Linked DNA regions of Elephas maximus indicus. The protein of the gene in region 1 interacts with the protein of each later gene in a biochemical or structural test. Links are inferred from orthologs where the notes say so. Each region holds a gene or a part of one and is shown in the gene's direction. Other genes may lie near its edges.

Region 1 (6,848 bases):
ATCTGGTCTCTGGGTATTTACACACATCCTAGAAGGCCGTGAGGTCAGAAGCGAGAGCCCTGGTTGCGAGGTGGGAGCCTAGGGTTTTGCCCTAGTTATCAATGATTTCAGTCTACATGGATCAAGAGTGAACATCCATGGAAACAGCAGTCAAGAAATCACTTAGGGGACACTGAGCTTCTGTTAAGGGTGATGGAAAAATTTGGGAAAGGTTAATGGTGGTTGCTGAACAACATGATAAACATGTCACTGAACTGTATATATGATGATTATAAAAAATATATATATATATGATTATAGAAATGGCAAATGTTTGTTACCTATGTATTTACCACAATTAAAAAAAAAAAAAGATCAAATGATGTAGTAGACAAATCTGGTGCAAAAGACCTCTTCAAAGTTTTAAAAAGCAAAGATGTCACTTTAATGACTAAGGTGCATTTGACCCAAACCATGGCCTTTTCAATAGCCTCAAATGCATGTGAAAGTTGGATAATGAAAAAGGAAGTATTGATGCATTCAAACTGTGGTGTTGGAATATACATGACTGCCAGAAGAACAAACAAATCAGACTTAGAAGTACATCCAGAATGCTCCTTAGAAGTGAGGGTGGTGAGACTTCGATTTGCTTACTTTGAACATGTCATCAGGAAAGACCAATTGCTAGAAAAGGACATCATGTTTGGTAATATAGAGGGCCAAGGAAAGTGAGGGAAACCCTCAGTGAGATGGATTTACACAGTAGCCAGCCACAACAAGACTCAAACATACCAACAATCATGAAATGGCACAGGACTGGGCAACGTTTCCTTTTGCTATACATAAGGTCTCCAGGAGCTGGAGCTGACTGGATGGCAACTAACAACATCCTGGAGGATCCTAGAACAAAAAAAAGATTATAAGGTAAAAACTAAGGAAATCTGAATAAAGGATGGGCTTTAGTTAATAACCCACCGCCATCGAGTTGATTCCAACTCATAATGACCCTATAGGACAGAATAGGACTGCCCCATAGGGTTTCTTAGGCTGTAATCTTTATGGAAGCAGACTGCCACATCTTCCTCCCGCTGAACAGCTAGTGGGTTTAAACCACCAACGTTTCGGTTAGCAGCCCAACACTTAACCACTGCATCACCAGAACTCCTTTTAGTTAACAGGAACATATCAATATTGGTTCATTAATTGTGACAAATGTATCACAGGCTCCTCTAAGATGTCCTGTTCTCTCCTGGCCAGGGGCCCCTCTGCCAGAGAAGTCCTGGGTTGTCTAGAGGGGTACAGGGTGGGACGAGGGGGGAGAAGAAGACACCTCCCAGCCCTTGGTCCCTCTAGATGATGCAAGGCCCAGGGGACAGAGGCCTGGCTTGAGTGCTAGGAGAGCTTGTCTCTGCCCCAATTTGTTCTTGTCTTAACTCCCTTTCCTCTCAGTGTCAGGAGCTACAATAACCCTACCTCCCTGGGATTGTAAGTGAGCGACTCACTGGTAAGGGCCCCTGGTCAGCCCTCAAGGACCCTCTCAGAGTGCTGGTGCCTGCTCAGCCAGCCCAGCTGTTGGTTCTGGTCTGAACAGCCTGTCTTGAGGACCCCTCTGTGGAACTGTGAGTCATTGTTTGCCTGCCTAGGATGTGTGGGAAGGGCAGGTGTACAGACACCTGGTGGGATCAGGGCAGGGTGCTCAGCACCCTAATGGGGCTCCTCTGGCCACCCGCAACTGCACACCCAAGGCCCTGGATCCCTGCCTCCAAGTATGTGAGGCTCTGGCCAGGATCCCCTCTCCCCACACTGAGGACTGAGTTAGTGACGCCCTCCCTGAGTGAGCAGCTAGCTGCTTGGGGTGGGGGTCGGGGGGCAGTTGGAGGCAAGGACTAGATGGTTTGTAGCCATGGGCAAAACTGCACCCCTCCCTTGGTTTTCCATTCCCTGTACCCAGGGGTGTCAAAGGGGTCTTTCTGAATCCCCCACCCCCTCTGGCCAGGAACACAGAGATGGGATGGGGGAGATAGGAGAGAAGAAGCCAGAAACAGTGGGTGATGAAAGACAGTAGGGAGAGGAAAGGGAGGCAGAGCCTGGATGCTGGGGAGGAAGGCTCAGTGGGGGGTCAGGGTGGCAGCCAGGCAGGCTCGTGTGGCTGGGAGCCTGGGTGCCAGGCTGAGCTGCTGCTCTCAGCTTAGGAGTCCCTGTGCCAGCTGGCACAGGTGGGTGGGCATAGGCAGGGCTGCGTGCCAGATATACACACAGAACGCCTTTGAGGAGGTGGCAGCTGTCGGCCCAGGCCCCCTTCTGCTTGCTGCAGCCCTGCCTACCCCCTCCAACAACGCCTTACTGAGCACTGGGCTGGGGAAACTGAGGAGTACATTTGGGAACCCTGACTGGAGCGGAGGGCAACCCTGCTCATTCGGAGCAGGGAGGGACCCTGGCTCATCAGTCCTAAGACCAGACCTGGCATGGTGGTGGGCCTCAGCTTCCCCCTTTCTCAATCCTCTTGTATCCCCCTCCGTGCCTGTGGCCACTATTAGGACCCTCCCCAGGATCAAGGCAGCCTCCCCACCTTGGGTGAGAAGGCTGGAAAGCCTTTTAAACCCCAGTAATGGTGGGTTTTGTGGTCCAGAGAGCTGGGGGCCAGCTCTGGGCCTCTGAGGAAGCTGCCTGCAGCCTGTCTCTGCTTTCTCCATTCAGTCATCATGGGCCTTCTGGCACTGCACACCTGGCAGACAGAACAGCCTGTCCCCCTGTGCCCATGGGTACCCGCCTCCCCACACAGATTTCCTAGGGGGCTAGAGCTCCCTGTCCACCTCCAAGCCCCCCATGAGCTGGGCTGGCTGTGGAATAGCTCTGTTTTTCCTCCTCAGTTGGGTGGGTGGTAGTACTCACCACCTGGACACTGCCGGCAGGTGCTCACTCACCTCCCCTGGTCTCCCTGTGCAGCAATGGCCATTCCTGGGGTCAGGCCTTGCTGGGCCTCCATAAGCTGCCTAGGAAGAGCCCCAAGGTCAGAGACAGGCTGCCTGTCTGGGCAGTAGAACAGGTTGACCTTTAGTAGCTGGGTAGAACAGGTCTGCCTTAAGTAGCTGAGAGACCTGGAGCGAGGTCTATTCAAGGTAACAGGGGCACAGCAAGGATCTCTGGCAGCAGGAGGAGGAATTAGGACTAATGGGCACTGGTACCTGTTTGGACACCTGTCAGATGTGGGGAGCTGAAGGAATGGGGTGGCTTGACTTGGGGAGGGAAGGCTCAGGCCTGTCTTCACAAGGAAGGGCTGGCCAGGGCGCAGGGCTGGCCTGGTTGAGGTGGGGGGAGGCGGGTGTGGGTGAGGGCTACCAAGAGACAGGACCCTCCCTAAAAGCCAGCCCAGATCTGTCGGGGTGACCGTAGGGATAGGCTAGGCTGTTCCCGGGGTTAGGGAGAGCTCCCCAAACCTGGGGGGTGGGGGCGGGGAGAAGATCAGGCGAAGGAGCCCTGCGCCAGGGTAGCTTAGGGGTTGTCCCTGAGATTCTGGGGCGCTCCCAGCCGTGGGGAGGGAGTTCTATGAACTCAGTTCGGCTGACTTGCAGCTGCCTCCAGCCTGGCAGAGCCCTCCTGGTCAGCTCCCAGACACAGGGACCGGGAGCCCGGCCAGGGCCACAGCGCCCTGGGATGCAATGCGGGGAGTGGGGGTTCTGGCCTGCAAAACCGGGTGGGTAAACAGGAGAGGTTGCTACGGGAGGTGGCCCTTAAAGAGTGGGGTAAGGTTTGGAGACCTAGGCACCTCTATGCTGCCTTGGGCCGACAGAAAAATGACTGGGGTCCGGGGTCCTCGCCTTTAACGCGGCCCGCGGCTGAGGAGACGGAGGGGGTGGGGCGGCGCGGCGGCGCATGCGCGGCTGGCGCTGCCGGACCGTCCGGCAGCCGGGAGCTTGGAGGTGCCCGCCGGGAGCCCGAAAGCCCCGGGACCCCGCGCGGGGCTCTGAGCGGGCGGGCCCATCGAGCCCCTAGCCTGCCGGCGCCGCCGTCCGCCCGGGCGCCGCGAACGGCGGCCAAGATGTCCGTGCCGGTGAGTACCGCCCGCTGCCCGCCACCCGGCTCGGCTGCCCCCGGCCCGGCCTGCGACCTCGTGCTGCCCGCTGCGGGCCCGCTGCCACGGGGGCTCTCGGACGGGGTCGCCCCACCTGGGCCTGCAACAGCTGGGGGAGGGCAGGTTGGGGGCATCTCCCCCGAGCGTCCCACTTACCTCTACCATCCCCTCCTCTCCCAGGAGGGCCAGGTCGGGCTGGGGTCCGCGCTGCCCTCTCGGGTACCCCCAGGACTGACAAGCGGGGTCCGTGCTGCCCTCCTGGAAACCGTACCCCTACGTTGGACAGCTGCCCTGCCGTCCCCCAGGGACCTCACCAGAATGGCCAGGCCTGGGGCGGGGTCTATGCCTGTCCCCGGAGACCCTTTCCCTCTCTCCCCGCCCCCCGTCGACGGCTTGGCTGGGTGGGCGTCTGCGCCTCCCCCTCCAGGACGGCTGTTGTGCTCACTTTCTCGGGAAGTTTTCCTCTGGCCACTGAGCCCCTTTCTGAGCACAGGCTCAGGCTCCTTGCTCCCTACTAGCGGTGGGCATTTTTCGTGGCCCGACAGGCCGGCCCCGGGCAGCCCCTTGGTGAATGGCTTCACACTTGGCTCGGAGCATCTTGGGTCTTCTCGGCCTCTTGTCCTGCGGGTGGCGAGTAATCCTGGAGACCCCCCCGTGACCAAACCTCAGGTACAGGCCCCAGCCCACTTTGCAGATGGACAGGCTGAGGTGGGAGGGAGATGAACCAGAGGTCCCGCTGGAAAGGGGCGCCACCCGCTAGCTGGAGATGTGGCCTCCGGCCATTGTTTCTTTGCAGGGTTAGGGGCTTTTTTCTCTGACAGGAATAGGCAGTGGGCCGCGGCTCCCAGCCTACCCTGGCCTTGTTTCTGGGACTGCCCCCCACATGAGGGCCCCCTTCTTGCCATGAAGCAGACAGTTGGGGCCTTCTGGCAGGGCAGGCTGGCCTTTTAATTAACCAGCGTAGAGTGTGTGGAGATTATTGGATGAGAGCTGCTGTGTAAGTGCAAAGCATTGTTATTATGGAATTAAAGATCCCAGCTTTACCCGCCTCCAGAAGCAGTAATGCAGAGTTACAGATGAAAAAATTAGGGCTTCCAGACTGTGCTGATGTGACCCCCCCCCCAACCCCAATCTCTTCTGGTTCAGAGCATAATTGCCTCATCTTTGAAAGAAGACAGAAAATGCCTGCCAAGCCCTTCTTCTCCCTTGCTCAGCTTTCCTGCAAAGCTCTGGGCCTTTTCCAGCCCAGGACATCAGGGAACCTCCCTGCCCCTGTAGGCACTGACCAGAGAAATAAGGTGGACCAGCTGGACCTGCTGGAGGGTCTGGGTCTTCAGGGCCAAGGGAATATGATGTGGAGAAAAAGAGGCCAAAGGTTGGGGGGGTGGGGGGGCAGGGCCACATCAGACCCTGGGCTGACCGCTATTGGGGAGGTCTACGTTTGATGTGGTTTGGTTGTCCACAGACACTGCAGAGCACTGAGAGGGGAGCCCGGGAGGGTACCCAGACCCCTTGTCTTACGTGACTCTGGATAGCCCTACTTGGCTCTGTGCCTCAGTAGCTGCATCTATAACAAGAGAGGTGTGGGCAGGTGGACCAGGGTCTGTGTGTGACTTGGACAGACAGGCATCATTGTGGAGGCAGCAGCTGAGGTCAGCTCAGTCTGTCCTCACCATCACCTGCTCCAAATCAGGTCCTCAGGTCCCACCCTCCCACCTGCAGCCACAACCCTTGGGGATTCTGTGGGAGTGGGCAGGGGTCTCACTGTCAGCCCCCTGTGTGGCTGGGCTGTCAGAGCACCCAGACTTTCTCCTGGGACCTTGGCCAGTGCCTGTGGTGGTGGGACCAGAAGGAGCAGTTCATTTCTGGAGCAGCTGTGAAATGTTCTGCAAATTGCTTTCATGTGCTGGGTAGGCCCTGCAGAAGCCTCAGGGCTGAGTCGGCCTGCTCAAGCCCTGCTCTCGGAACCCAGAATGGTGACGGCCCATGTGGGCTTATAGACACATTAGGGTTTTAAGCACACTTGTTCATTTGGGTAGTCTTTTCCTGGATGGGGCTGACACAGGCAATTTGGAACACAGAAATTACAAGATGCTTCAGAACGAGACAGGGTGGGAAGTGATGTCAGGGAGAGTAGGGGTTGTGGTGGGCCAGGTTGATCTGTGAGTGACTCTGAGTGTTAGCACAGGAGGGCGCTCTAGACATTGGTGGTCTGACCCTGTCATTTGATCCAAGCCCACACACGCAGGAGTCTGGATCCCAGAGGGGGCAAGGTACACAGGGTCTTCCTGACCCCCTACTCAGTGCTGTTTCCTCTGCCCCAAGCTGAGAGCAGTGATATCTGGCTTCCTCTTGGGCATGGCTGTGCCACCTGCCTCAGGCCTCTGGACTGGCCAGCATTGGCATGGGATCTGTGTTTAGGAGTGGCACGATGCTGGATGCTCCCTGGAACTGTCAGAGAGGCCAGTTTCCAGCTTGCAGAGAAATTCTCCTACTGTTTTCCTGCCTCCTTTCCTGTCTGTGAAATGCGTGCAGCCATTCTGCCCCTCTACTGTTCCTTTGTTGTGTGAAGGATGGAACCTGTCAAGAAGTGACGGTGCAGACGTGTGGCATGCATCCCATGTGCCAGACACTGTGCTCAGGGACAGTGTGTCTTGCCAGGGTGGCGCGGCCAATAAGAGGCAGGCACTGGGTGGGAACCAAGTCTGGCAGAACCCAAAGCCAGAAAGTGACTGTCATACCTCGTGGCCTCTCTAACTATGGGGACTGTGGCCTGTTGAGCCATCACAGAGGTCGA
Region 2 (7,130 bases), on another chromosome or scaffold:
TGCTCGGGGAGCTTCTCAGATGTAGGGACCCTGGGTCCAAAGGACGTGTTCTGCTCCAGGTGCCACTTTCTTAGTGGTATGGGGTCCCTGTTCTCTGCTTGCTTCCCTTTCCTTTTATCTCTTGAGAGATAAAAGGTGGTACAGGCCACACCCCAGAGAAACTCCCTTTACACTGGATCAGGGATGTGACCTGGGTAAGGGTGGTGTTACGATCCCACCCTAATCCTTTTTAACATAAAATTACAACCACATAATGGAGGACTACTATGAAATACTGGGTATTGTGGCCTAACCAAGTTGACAAATATTTTTGAGGGGACACAATTCAATCTATGGCATCAAGAAACAGTCAAGTGTTTTGAGAAAGAAAGAGAAACTTGCCAATAAGAGGTAAACTAAACATTGAGAAGCAAGAGCACTAGGCAAAATGGCACTCAATTCCTCTGACAAGTAACACTTCCCAGGAGACTATTAGTAGACTGTTATACAACTTGTCCAGCATAACTAGTTCTTTATCAATCACTATCTAGTTTGTACATTCTTTTGACATCAGAAGTGGAGGCACTCCTAATCACCTACCAATTGCTTTGCCTACTGTCTCATTTCTCTCCTACTGTTGGGAGGAAAGGGGCATCTATACTGGATTATACTGGGAGACGATCAAGCCAGATCCTGACGTTTCCCTATGCCCAGTGTGAAACTGAGTCTCAGTATCTGACTAAAGTAAAATATTCCAGACCCATACTTCAAATGAAGTTTACCTTAGAAATTAAATTACTCCTCTAACTAAGGTGCCCCTGACCCAAGCCATGGTATTTTCAATCGCATCATATGCATGTGAAAGCTGGACAATGAATAAGAAAGACTGAAGAAGAATTGATGCGTTTGAATTGTGGTGCTGGTGAAGAATATTGAATATACCATGCACTTCCAGAAGAATGAATAAATCTGTCTTGGAAGAAGTACAACTAGAATGCTCCTTAGAAGCAAGGATGGCGAGACTGCGTCTTACATACTTTGGATATGTTGTCAGGAGGGATCAGTCCCTGGAGAAGGACATCATGCTTGGCAAAGTGCAGGGTCAGCAGAAAAGAGAAAGACCCTCAACAAGGTGGACTGACACAGTGGCTGCAACAATGAGCTCAAGCATAACAACGGCTGTAAGGATGGTGCAGGACCGGGCAGTGTTTCGTTCTGTTGTGTGTGGGGTCGCTATGAGTCAGAACTGACTCGGTGGCACCTAACAACAACAAGTAAATTTTTAAAACACAGAACAAAAATATATCCTTTTAACATGCACATACATGCAAAGGAACCCTAGTGGCAAAGTGGGCAAGAGCTCAGGGAGCTAACCAAAAGATCGGCAGTTTGAATCCACCAGCTGCTCTTCGGAAACTCTTTGGGGGTAGTTCTACTCTGTCCTATAGGGTTGCTATGAGTTGAAATCCACTCCGTGTAAATGTGTTTTTTTTTTTTTGGTATACAAGCATATAAATGCATAGAAAGATTTGGAAGAGCACACCTGGAAGTGCATACTTCCGGGGAGGGGAGTGGATTGAGGGAATACTCATTTTACGTATTAGTTATATTACTTAAAGAATGACATTTTTCTTTTTAAAAAGAGGAACAAGATTGTATGATGTTACTCACACCTATCTTCTTCAAGGAGTTTCTCATTAAATTCCATGGTGCCCCTAAACATTCATCTGGGAAAAGTGGCTTACCACTGATACTTCATATTAATCAGATCCTCTCACCAATCTGATTTGGAAAGAATGCTTGAGAATATGTGGCCAAAATATGTCCACAGATCAAATCCTTCACTTCTGTCAATTACAGGTTTACATTCCTCATTGAAAGGCAATAAAAGACAAACAAACAAACAAAACACCAAACCAAACCGTTGCTCTCCAGTAGATTCCAACTTAAAGTGACCCTATAGGACAGAGAACTGCCCCATAGAGATTCCAAGAAGCACCTAGTGGATGTGAACTGCCAACCTTTTGGTTAGCAGCCTAGCACTTAACCACTACACCAACAGGGTTTCCAAAGTGTTAATTCCTTTTAACCCCATAGCTCAAGGACTATATGGACTGTAGTTTTTATTCTCAAGGTTATTCTTTTTTTTTTTTTTTTGGCCGTAGAGATGGTTCCAACTCATAGCGACCCTATAGAATAGAGTAGAACTGCCCCACAGGATTTCCAAGGCCGTGATCTTTAAGGAAGTAGGCTGCCACATCTTTCTCCCCCAGAATGGTTGGACAGTTTGAACCATCAACCTTTCGGCTAGCACCCCAGCACTTAACTACTGTGCCACGAAGGCCCCTTGAAAGGCAATAGGAAACCCTGGTGGCATAGTGGTTAAGAGCTAGCGCTGCTAACCAAAAGGTCAGCAGTTTTTATCCACCAGGCGCTCCTTGGAAACTCCATAGGGCAGCTCTATTCTATCTGACAGGGTCGCTAGGAGTCAGAATCGACTTGACGCAACGGGAAGGGCAATAGGCATCATAAAAAAAGAAAAAAAAAAAAACAACAAAAACGTTGCTGTGGAGTCGATTTCCACTCATCAAATCCAAAACCCAGTGCCATCGAGTCGATTCCGACTCATAGCGACCCTATAGGACAGAGTAGAACTGCCCCATAGAGTTTCATAGCGAACCTATAAGACGGAGTAAAACTCCCTCATAGTGTTTCCAAGGAGAGGCTGATGGATTCGACCTGCTGACCTTTTGGTCAGCAGCGGAGCGCTTAACCACTGCGGCACCAGGTGTACATAGTGAAAGCAAAAGGACTTGAGTTCTAGTTCTGACTGTGCTTAAAAAACTGCAGGGGAACTTGAGCAAATCATTTTTACTTGTAAAATGGAGAATTAGAGCAGAACGGATAGACTCTTACTACTAGACGATTTATTTAAGGTCCATCCTACGGAGAAGAGCTATTCAATTTCGAAGTGCTGCGAATTTAAAAGCAAGATTACAAGTTTCCTTCAATTTAACGAACACAGGGTCCCTACTATATGTGTGGTATGTATCAGGACACACTACAAATCTCAGGCGCTCACTCGACAGCGTTTAGATGCAATTGCAAACAGCAAAAGTCCTTTCACCTAAGAAACGTTTAGCTTCCCTCAGCGGTAGCAATCCCCCAAAGTCCTAAATTTTAATTGCAGTCAATTCCCACCAAGCCATTAGTAGGATGAGAACACACCTGCTGTGAACGCGGAGATGACACTACTACAGTTCCCAGATGCCTCTCTTCCCACCACCGCCCTCCCCGCCCCCACTCCTGGACTCCGCGGGCGGGACTTGTAGTCCCGGGCCCGGGCTGGCGACGGCGCTGAAGCGCTCTTGAAATCTGCCTTCTGCCCGCGAGCTGACGATAAGATCGCAAGTTCCATTAAACTCCTACTCCGATCAACTAAGGTCTGCCCAGTTCAAAGTCGAATTCCCTACTCCAGGGGAATCAACTTTACCCTAGCTCTCCTCAGACCTACAACCTACCGGGGCCAGATCACGCCCCGGAAGTGGAGTCGGGCCCACCAGCGCTTTCCAACCACTCCAAGCAGGGCCTAGCCGGCAGGCAGGCTTGGGGGCGTGGCCTTGGAAGAGGGGTGGGCGGGGGCGGATGGGCGCGGCGTAGCGTTTTGGGCGGAGCCGCGGCGCGGGGCCGCGCGTCTGGGTGGCGGCGGGGGCGCGCCCGTGGGGAGAGGCGGCTGCGGCTGCTAGTGGGAGGGCCCGTGGGGGGGGAGGAGGAACCCGGGACGGGGTCGGGGGGCAGGGCGAGCAGAGAGCCGGGTTCCTGAGGCGGTGGTGGAGTCTCCAACAGAGGAGGAGGGCGGGGAAGGAGGATGGAGCAAGCTGGGGGTTGGGGCTGGCGCTAGCCGCTGCGGCTCGCCTCGTACAGTGGGAGAGCGGCGGCTGCTCCTGGAAGTTGTAGCGTCGGGAGCCGGGCCGGTGCTGTTGCTGCCGCCGCCTTGGGCGGTGGGGAGGAGGAGAAAGAGGAGGAGAGAACGACCGGGGTTGGCGGGGGTCGGAAGGGAGGGGACGGACAAGGGGGAGCGAGCTGGGGAAGACGGAGCGGGCTCTGCGCCGGGCAGGCGGGCGTCGGCGGGGGGGCCAGCGACCGCAGCCGGGGGGACGCGGGAGGATGGAGCAAGTGGAGATCCTGAGGAAATTCATCCAGAGGGTCCAGGCCATGAAGAGTCCGGACCACAATGGGGAGGACAACTTCGCCCGGGACTTCATGGTGAGTGCCTGCCCTCGCTGTCGCTTCCTTTCGCCGGCACTGGAGCCCATCGCCGCCTCGCCCGGCTGGCCCAGGCAGCCAGCGCTTTGTGTACGGCTGTGAGGAGAGGGGCGGAGGGGGAGCGCAGCGACCCCGGGGCCCGGTGGGCTCGGAGGCCGGTGGAAGGTGAGACCGTCTCCGCCCCTCGGCCCTCTTTTCCCTCCTCCGGCGTTCGCGGCCCCTTCTGCGGGCTCCCGGGACAACAAGGGAGCGGCCGCTGGGCCGAGCCAGCACCCGGTACCGCCGCCCGCGACCACCTATTGTTTCTCGGCCTGGAGCTGGAGGCGAGTGAGGTGCTGGTCGGGGGACAGGAGGAGCCTCACCTTTCCACACCTCACCACCTATCCTGCCCCTCCCGGGAGGGTCGAGGCAGGGTATCTGGCTGTGCCCAGGGGGGAGCGGATCGCGGCTGACAGAGGAACGGGCGTGTGAGATTGGCATTAACTCGTGGGGGCCCTTTGCCCAAGCTGGTCTCATAAGTGGGCAGGGTAGGAGTTCTGTCGTTTCTCGGTTCCCAGTTATTATCTCCAATGCTTGGGAAAGCGTTGTCCAAAGGAAGCTCTTGGTTTGTCTTATTTCCATTTACCCTCATCCCGTCTCTTCTCTCCTGAGACACAGGTTTGAGGTAGTCTTAGGGTCAGCGCGACTTTAGGTTGAAGGGGAACTGTGTGTGTGTGTGTGTGTGTATGCGTGTGTGGTTATCCTGAAGGAAGCCTACTTCGAACTCCCTAGGGGATATTGCCGAAGGCGGAGGGGATATGACTATCACTTCCTATCCGGGGTGGGGGTGGGGAACTTGGGAACAATAGTCCTGGTGGGGCGGAGGCGAAGATCCGGGCCGAAGCCCTGAACTGGGAGATAACCTTCCCAGTCACCACCCCCCCTCCCCTTCCGCCCACTGCTTTTGCAGGCTGGCTCGGGAGGAGGTGAGGGTTTAAAGTCTTATCCGTGAAATTGCTCTAGATACATCACGATGAGGGGGTCAGATCTGAAGGCGTGGGACCAGAAGTCGACTTCCTACATTACACCCCCCCCACCCTCTTATTTTTCAGCCGGACAATGTCCCCTCTAGGGTTGTTTCCCGGCTTGGGAGGCGGTGGTTGCGGTGGCTGCTCTTACGGATATTGCGCAACACTGGGGCGTTGGAAAACCCTGGAGGTCTGGGGAATGGAAAAGGAAGTAGGACTTTGGGAAGTGGTTGCTCTTTGGCCTTGGCGGGGGTTGGAAATGGGAAATAAGCTAGGAAGAATTTTGGTCCTGGGCAAGGTGCTCTTCCAAGGATAAACACTTAGCTCCGAAATTCGGTTATAAAGAAAATATAGAGCTAATGTTTATAAAAATGAATGGGCAGCAAACGTTGGCTACGTTTTGTTTCAAAGTACAGTAGTTGTTTTCAGGGTGCAGGTGAAGGGACTTTTAGTACCGAAATGCTTTTTTCAATTTTAAGGAGACCTTGGGCTAGTAAAGCTTCAGTGTTAAAATTGTTAACAGCTTATAAAGGGCTTACACAACATGGTAGTATTGTAGAGCTTTGTGATTCCCGCTTCCCCAAACCAATAACAGAAGATAGAAGTTTTGTTACTTATCTTTTGAAGACTGGAAAACCTAGATTAAATGGTGTAATTATTTCTTGTCTTAAACATTTTTCTCTTGATATTTAGCCTTTGTACTTTTGAAAAATTACTTTTTGATCTGAAAAGAGTAAAGAAAAGGAGGGGACATTTTTCCTTTGTACTATTGAGAATTTTGAATGTGTTGGTGTCTTTTGAATGGAATCATTTACAATAATTGCATGTAGTCCCTTTTTTACTACACTCTAGCAAAAATAGAAGAAAATATTTACTTTGTATATTTTAAATATCTAAAATTAGTCTTTTAAAGTCTTATTTTGGTTATCAAGAAGAAATGGTGTGGTCCCTGGCCACTTATATGCATACTAGTCATTGAGTTATCCCTAGGCATATCCTGTCAGGAAAGGGCATTGTTTAGTGATACAGGCCATCAGGACAGGTGCCCTGTCTGTGAACTTCTGTGCAGGGGAAATAGCCTTAGGGTTTATGCTTTGGAGTTGAGTCAGGGATGCTTATTGGAGATTTCATTTCTCAAGTACTAAATTAGTTTCTTTTTTCATCCATAATACCTAGGGAGAGCTAGGTGATTCTACATTCAAGGTTTGATGACTAAGGCTATTCTTACATAGTGCTTGCCTTTTCTGTTTCCTGACTTGATAAGGAACAGCTATAATTAAGGTTGCTGGTAGTTGGCTGCTGAAAGCAGGAGAGGAAATCTCCCAAACTATGTTCCTCTGTCATTGAGGGAAAATAGAGGATCAGTTGATAGAATTTAGATTCTAACTGTTCTGCTGTTATTCTTAAATTCTGATGCAGAGTCAAATGCATTTTTAAGTTTTGACATTTCAGAACTGAAAGAGACCTTAGAGATATTCTATTATAACCCAATTCCACTATAAATTAATAATGCTTGTTATTTCAAATTTGAAAATTACATAATAATAATAACGTCCTACACTTAAGAGTCCTGATGATGCAGTGGTTAAGAGCTTGGCTGCTAACCAAAAGGCCAGCAGTTCAAATCCACCAGCTAGCTGTTCTTGGCTATCCCGTGGTACAGTTCTGCCCTGTCCTATAGGGTCACTCTGAGTTGGAATGACTCGACGGCAATGGGTTTGTTTGTTTTTTGGTACACTTAGGAAGGTGAAGTTGGCATTCAAACTCAGGTGTCACTCTACAGTGTTCTTGCCATTATTCTTCCCAAACTTCCTATAGTTCCATCACCTGAAGATTACTTCTGTTCATGTTTTTAATGTTATAGGGTCACTGTGAGTC
Region 3 (6,945 bases), on another chromosome or scaffold:
GCCACTTCGACTCAAGATGGGCACTTATTTCCCTACTTAGCCCCGTGCATGGGAATTGGAATGAACCAGCCCTGTCCTCCATTCACTCTAGGAGCTCACAGTGCTGTGTGTTCCAGGTGAACTTTGTTGTTGTTGTTGGCTGCCACTGAGTCGATTTCGACTCATAGCAACTCCATATGACAGAGCAGAATTGCCCCGTAGGGTTTCCTAAACTGCAGTCTTTACAGGAGCCAGGTCTCTTCTCCCCCTGAACTGCTGGTGGGTTCTAATCTCCAACCTTTCAGTTAGCAGCCGAGCACTTAACTGTTGTACCACCAGGGTTTTCTTCCAGACAAACTATCACTCAAATTATATATGGGTGAGAGGGAAGAGTACACAGCCTGCAGAGCACTTCAACGGGCCCAGACTTGAAACAGGCAGCTTCTGAGTGTTGAGTTCCAAATGTTTCACCAGAACGGACACCTCTCGTTAACATTGCCTCTCCCCTAGAATCCTTAGTTTCTAAAGGTATTGCCTATTAAACCAATTGCATTTAAAAAAAAAAAAAAATTTTTTTTTAAACAGGAAGTGAGTGAATTTTTATTGAGTAAATTGCTCAATAAAAATTCACTTACTTCCTGTTTGTTATTATTTGAAGGTATATAATAATAATATCGAATTAAAAATGGATTGGCAGAAGGATGAACAAACCTATCTTGGAAGAAGTACAGCCAGAATGCTCATTAGAAGCAAGAACGGCGAGACTTCATCTCACAAACACTGGACACGTTGCCAGGAGGGACCAATCCCCGGAGAAGGACATCATGCTTGGTAAAGTAGAAGTCAGCGAAAAAGTGGAAGACCCTCAAGGAAATGGATTGACACAGTGGCTGCAACAATGGGCTCCAAAATAACGATTGTGAGGATGGCGCAGGACTGGACAGTGTTTCATTCTGTTGTATATACGGTCGCTATGAGTCAGAACTGACTCGACAGGACTTAACAACAACAACGATAATGATAAACCAAAAATCCACTGCCATCGAGTCGATTTCGACTCACAGTGACCCTATAGGACAGAGTAGAACTGCCCCATAGAGTTTCCAAGGCTGTAATGTTTACGGGAGCAGACTGCTGTGTCTTTCTCCCATGGAGCAGCTGGTGGGTTCTAACTGCCGACCTTTTGGTTAGCAGCCGAATGCTTTAACCACTAACCACCAGGGCTCCTTGAAATAAACCATAGCTAATATTTATTCCCATGAGAATGGGAATTCCAGAACACTTAATTGTGCTCATGAGGAACCTTTACATAGATCAAGAGGCAGTTGTTTGGACAGAACAAGGGGATACTGATTGGTTTAAAGTCAGGAAAGGTGTGCATCAGGGTTGTATTCTTTCACCATACCTATTCAATCTGTATGCTGAGCAGATAACACAAGAAGCTGGACTATATGAAGAAGAACGGGGCATCAGGATTGGAAGAAGACTCATTAATAACCTGTGATATGCAGATGATACAACCTTGCTTGCTGTAAGTAAAGAAGACTTGAAGCATTTACTAATGAAGATCAAAGACCACAGCCTTCAGTATGGGTTGCACCTCAACACAAAGAAAACAAAAATCCTCACAACTGGACCAATGAGCAACATCATGATAAACGGAGAAAAGATTGAAGTTGTCAAGGATTTCATTTTACTTGGATCCACAATCAATAGCCATGGAAACAGCAGTCAAGAAATCAAAAGACGCATTGCATCACGTAAATCTGCTGCAAAGGACCTCTTTAAAGTGTTGAAGAGCAAAGATGTCACCTTGAAGACTAAGGTGCGCCTGACCCAAGCCATGGTATTTTCAATCACATCATATGCATGTGAAAGCTGGACAATGAATAAGGAAGACTGAAGGAGAATTGATGCCTTTGAATTGTGGTGTTGGCAAAGAATATTGAATATACCTTGGACTGCCAAAAGAACGAACAAATCTGTCTTAGAAGAAGTACAACCAGAATGCTCCCTAGAAGCAAGGATGGCGAGACTGTGTCTTACATACTTTGGACATGTCAGGAGGGATCAGTCCCTGGAGAAAGACATCATGCTCAGCAAAGTACAGGATTAGGGGAAAAAGAGGAAGACCCTCAACGAGGTAGATTGACACAGTGGCTGCAACAATGAGCTCAAGCATAGCAACAACTGTAAGGATGGCTCAGGAGCAGGCAGTGTTTCGTTTTGTTGTGCATAGGGTCGCTATGAGTTGGAAGCAACTTGACGGTACCTAACAACAACAACAATATTTATTAAGCCACTCACTATACTAAAAGGATTACATGTAGTAACTCATTCATTCCTCACACCCCCCTTCTGAGCCAGGTACTTTTATTACCCGCATTCTATAAAGGAGGCACAGAGAGTTTAGGTAATTTGCCCAAGACTGCATAGTTATTTAGCAGAGCTGGGATGGGGGCCCAGGCAGCCTCGCTCCAAAGTCTGTACCACTCTGGAGACTGGGTTAGAATCCTGTCTTCCATACCAATGAGCAGTGCTACTCTGGAGAAGTGATTTTGCCTCAGAGTCCTCAACTGTAAAGTGGGAATAACAATAGTGACAATTTTGTAGTGTTGTTGGAGGGGGCTGTTAAATGAGAATGTGCACTTGGAATACCAGGCACAGTGCCTGCCACAAGCACTCAAGGAATGAGTTGGAATTCAACCAAGAATTCCAGGTAGCCACCCTGGGAGGCCTGGCATGGGAACAGTAAGAGAGATGATTTGATGCTCTGGGTTCTCTGCCCTCATGGAGTTCATAGGCTTCGCAGAAGATGCCACGCTGGAGCTGGATGATTTAAATCAGAGTCCACAGAAAGGCAACCTGACCAGCCTTCCTTCCTGTGTGCCCCAAGGACCACAGGCATAAGAATTCCCGGGGCAGGGGGGAAGGGGGACAGTAAACAATACAGATTCCTGGGCCTCACCTCCGTACCAAAGGTATCCAATCCTTTGGAGGTGGTCCCAGAAATCCGCATCGTTCAACACACTTCCCAGGTGATTTTAATGCATCATGGAATTGGAGCTCCACCAAATCCAGGCTGAGCAGGGTCAATGTAGGCTTTCTTTGATTCTCTGGGAAATATTGAAAATCATTCTAGGACCCCCCTTCTGATGGGCCCAGGGTAGAAGACCCTAAAGGGAAAATACGGATTTCAAACAGGAACTCTTGCCTCTAGGGAGTAATGGCTCTTCCCAGGCAGCCCAGCGGATCATGAAACTCTCCTGTTTCGTTAAAATCGGCGGGCCTCCTCTGGCCAGAGCCGGGAGACGGTGAACGGGGCTTGCAGTCTTCCGTCGGTGCTCTAGCTGGGAGTACTGAGTCCAGGACCCTGGCGCTGCAAGAAGGATGCGTGACTATTTCAAGGTCACTCTGTAACTCAGGAGGCCAAGCCGAGGTTTGAATTCAAGACCCACCCCAGGCCTTGCCAACCCTCGTACCGTGGGCTCGGTGCCCTGGGGTCGCCTAGGCAACGGGCGCGCGCCACGCCCGAGCCCGGACCCCCGGAGAGGCGGGGGAACCTGCGCGCTGCCCAACGTCTCGCGGGGCTGAGGCCACTTCCCCCGGCACCTCCTCCGGACTCCGCCCCGCGGAAGTGCTTGCCCTCATCCTCGAGCGCGGATTGGCCCTCCGGCTTAGGGGGCGGGGCTCTCGGCAGGCGCGGTGCGTACTTCCGGCTGCCGGGTTGACATGAAGAAGCAGCGGCGGCTGGGGCGGCGGTAGCGGCGAGAGTCGAGGCTTGCAGTGGAACTCAAAGCTAAGATCGCGACGCGGCCTGAGGCGGCAGACGTCGCAGTGGGCCGAGGAGGAGACGCAACAGCCGCCCTGGCCCGTCATGGAGATGGAAAAGGAGTTCGAGCAGATCGACAGGGCTGGTAGCTGGGCGGCCATTTACCAGGTGCGGGAGCGCCCCCGAGCGCGACAGGCTCTTTGCTTAGGCCGCGGGAACCCTCCTCGGAACACCGGGCCCCGTTCTCCCTCTGCGTCCTGCCCTCCGTCTCGGCCCTGCTGCCTGAGGATTCGATCCGACAGCGGCAGAGGCCGCCCCCCTCTCTCTTTGTCCCCCGGGTGGGCCTGCGTCTCGCTCGGGCCTCGCAGCCTCCTGAGATCCCCCACCTACCTCATATCCTCTAGCCCGGGTGACCTCTTAAGCCTGGAGGCCGCCCATCTAGACTCTTCGCGCGAATCCTTCGCACCGCGACCCCGCCCCCCTGCCTACCCACTCTTTGTCCCCTGGGGTGGATTTAACACCCCCACGACTTCCTTTTCTAGACGGGACCACCTCAGACTCTCTTCCTTTGTCTCCCGGGGGAAAGGGTTTCGCCCCCTCCCCCCTCACATTTCCTTTCCTCTGGTCTCAGTGTCCGTCGAGTCCAAGGATGACAGAGCCCCTTTCCCCCTTCCTGCTCATTCATTTAGTGTCTGTAAAGTGATGCGCCTATTCCGTGCTAGCCACCGCTATAGGCGCTGGAGAGTGTTGAACAAGACAGGTAAAGCCTTATCCCTGTGGAGCTTAGAGTCGAATAGGGCAGTCAGACATACGCAGATGATTTCGGATGGTAACAAAAGATGTGAGGAAAACAAAACATAATGGGGTAGGGCGCCTCCAGATGAAAGGTGGACTACCTTAGTGAGAGAGAGCAGGGACTGTCTGTCAGAAGAAGAGACATTTGCTTTGTGGGCTGAATGAAGAGTCACAGCAGGCTATGAGTGTATCAGGCTAAAGAGCTTTCCAGCCAGGAGGTCTGCAGTCACCATTCCATCAGGGCCAAAACAGTGCCTTTTCAAGCAGGGGCTAGGGAAGGTTAAGGCTTTACTCTCAGTAGCATCTTTCCTCAACGGGCAGCCCATCCTTGGTTCAGAGCTGAGACGAACTGTCTTCCGAGACCTCGGGTGGGTTACGGTGGTTCGTAAGCAAAAAGTTAGCAAGGTAGGGTTTGTCACCTATCTCTAAAGCGTCAGATTAAAAATACGAAGAGGTCTGCTTTCACAACCAGTTAAATCCTCTAAAGAAAATACACATTCCCCATTAAATGTCATTGCGGGGGTTGTGAGGATTAACCAAAACCACACTTGGTATCTTGAATAAGCAACGTGCAGAATAGAGAGATTTTGTTACTTGTGTAAAGAGGGAAGGCAGTTTTTTCTGTTTTCAGCTTGAGCTCAAAAGGCAAATTGTGGTGTCCATCAGCTGGTCTTATTAAAATCTATTTTGAGCTCCTCTTAAAAAGGAGAAACAGCATTAAGCAGCTCTTTGGTGAGCTTGACTGACGAAAGCCTGTTTTTGGCAGCCTTGTTTTCATGTGGATTTGCATTAAGCTTCTTTGACAGGACTCTTTTTACTTGGACTGTGATGTATATTATCTTCTGATAGACTGTAATATTTATAATGTTGCCAGACCACTGTAATCTGTATAAATATGATGGATCAATATAAAAGTTTGTATTCCGTGCCTAGTCTCTGTAGGCTAATGGAATGAGTGCCACTGGTGACTTTGAGAATGTGTGGACACATTATCTACATCAAATTTAATGCAACAGAGTCTAAAATGGCTTTAAAGGAAAATTGTTGCTCTGAAGTGTCGGAATTGACTACAACATACTCCATCACAATTGCAGGCTTTGGAGAAAAAATCTTTTGTACTGAAACTGACTCAACTGCAAATTTATATTGTAGATAAGTTCTTGGTTGAATCCGATTTCTTACTGTTTTAGGTGCGGGTAGTCTGACCTGTCACCTAAGCGTTGTTGAAATTATATTAAGCAAGCTGCTAGCATGAAGCATGTTGGTCTTCAACTAATTTCCTTCATTGTTCTTAAGTTTCTGTATCACATTTGAACTACAAGAGTTAGTCAAGATTGCTTTATCTTGAGATTTCCCCAGCTTCTTAATAGATTGCCACATTACTGGAGGTGGTTTCTTCTGACCTTAAGGAAATATCCACTGTGGCCTTTTCTTACCTCTTACCATGCAGATATTCTAAAATTGAAGTCAGAGGCTCTTCCCCTTACTAAGTTTGTAAGTTGCTCTTTTTTGTACAATTGTAGCATTTTTTTAAATGTGGAGTTCAAATGACCTTGAGTGTTAAGTGGCAGATTTTCCAAGTTGTGTGTCAGTTTACCGGAACCATTATTTTCCAAGAATTAAAAGCAGTGTGCTTATGGTTGGTAGAAAATGAGTTTAAAAAAATTAATGTTGTATATAGCATGGAAAAATGAGGGTAGCCTTAGAGTCATATATTGACCTCACTTACTCTTTTGTGACTAGAAAGATAACATGTAATTTTTGCTTAAAACTTTGCTATAAGGTAGCACAGTCATCTTTCACTATCCTAACCTTTTTTCTAACTAGTACAAAAAAAAAAAAGCAAGAACTTGGGAAAAGAATAAAGGGCGAAGTGGGCTTTTTGAGTGCCGAGGAATGTGGCAGCTTAGAAAACAAATGTTCCAGGCAAAGATTCTATGCTAGCTCAGTCTGATAGAGAGCGTAGACGGGTTTGTAATCTTCAATGCTAATAATAGCACAGATACTAATAAGCATTTGGTGCTATAAAAAGTCAGCTTTGATAGCATCATTTAGATAGCTTTAAAAATTGTTTTCTAGCATTTAAGCACTTTGGTGTGAAAAGTGGAAGTACTGCTTGGCAGGTCTCAAGTTTGAGTTGGCTTGGCTGTCCAAAAGAGGAGAGGCACAGATATAAAAAAGGATCAGTTTTAGAAGCTGGAAGGAGAGAAGAGAGGGCTTGAATGATGACAAGAATATGATACGCCACCCTCCATCTGTGGTTTAAGAGAGCTTGGATCAGGTGTTTTTGAATTCTTTGATTCTCTGACACTGGTCACTCTCTTTCAGTGTCAATGGTTTCATTGTTTCAGATGAAGGAGATGGCAACAATAGCCCTGGACTTGCAGGCAAGATGTATT

Evidence for each region. The genes of interacting proteins can lie anywhere in the genome.
Region 2: the proteins of BCAR1 (region 1) and PTPN12 form a complex in vitro, tested with the Homo sapiens proteins (3 studies listed by BioGRID and IntAct, with this or other methods). The link is inferred for Elephas maximus indicus from reciprocal best matches to the Homo sapiens genes BCAR1 and PTPN12.
Region 3: the proteins of BCAR1 (region 1) and PTPN1 form a complex in vitro, tested with the Homo sapiens proteins (3 studies listed by BioGRID and IntAct, with this or other methods). The link is inferred for Elephas maximus indicus from reciprocal best matches to the Homo sapiens genes BCAR1 and PTPN1.

Annotation. Positions count from the first base shown.
Region 1 is NC_064839.1:40,988,315-40,995,162, reverse strand, and holds the start of BCAR1 (breast cancer anti-estrogen resistance protein 1), read left to right. Parts: upstream 1-3,842; 5' UTR 3,843-4,018; coding exon 4,019-4,030; intron 4,031-6,848. UniProt on the Homo sapiens protein: Docking protein which plays a central coordinating role for tyrosine kinase-based signaling related to cell adhesion. Implicated in induction of cell migration and cell branching. Involved in the BCAR3-mediated inhibition of TGFB signaling.
Region 2 is NC_064826.1:47,221,569-47,228,698, forward strand, and holds the start of PTPN12 (tyrosine-protein phosphatase non-receptor type 12), read left to right. Parts: upstream 1-4,110; 5' UTR 4,111-4,146; coding exon 4,147-4,245; intron 4,246-7,130. UniProt on the Homo sapiens protein: Dephosphorylates a range of proteins, and thereby regulates cellular signaling cascades. Dephosphorylates cellular tyrosine kinases, such as ERBB2 and PTK2B/PYK2, and thereby regulates signaling via ERBB2 and PTK2B/PYK2.
Region 3 is NC_064843.1:19,114,421-19,121,365, reverse strand, and holds the start of PTPN1 (tyrosine-protein phosphatase non-receptor type 1), read left to right. Parts: upstream 1-3,925; 5' UTR 3,926-6,945. UniProt on the Homo sapiens protein: Tyrosine-protein phosphatase which acts as a regulator of endoplasmic reticulum unfolded protein response. Mediates dephosphorylation of EIF2AK3/PERK; inactivating the protein kinase activity of EIF2AK3/PERK.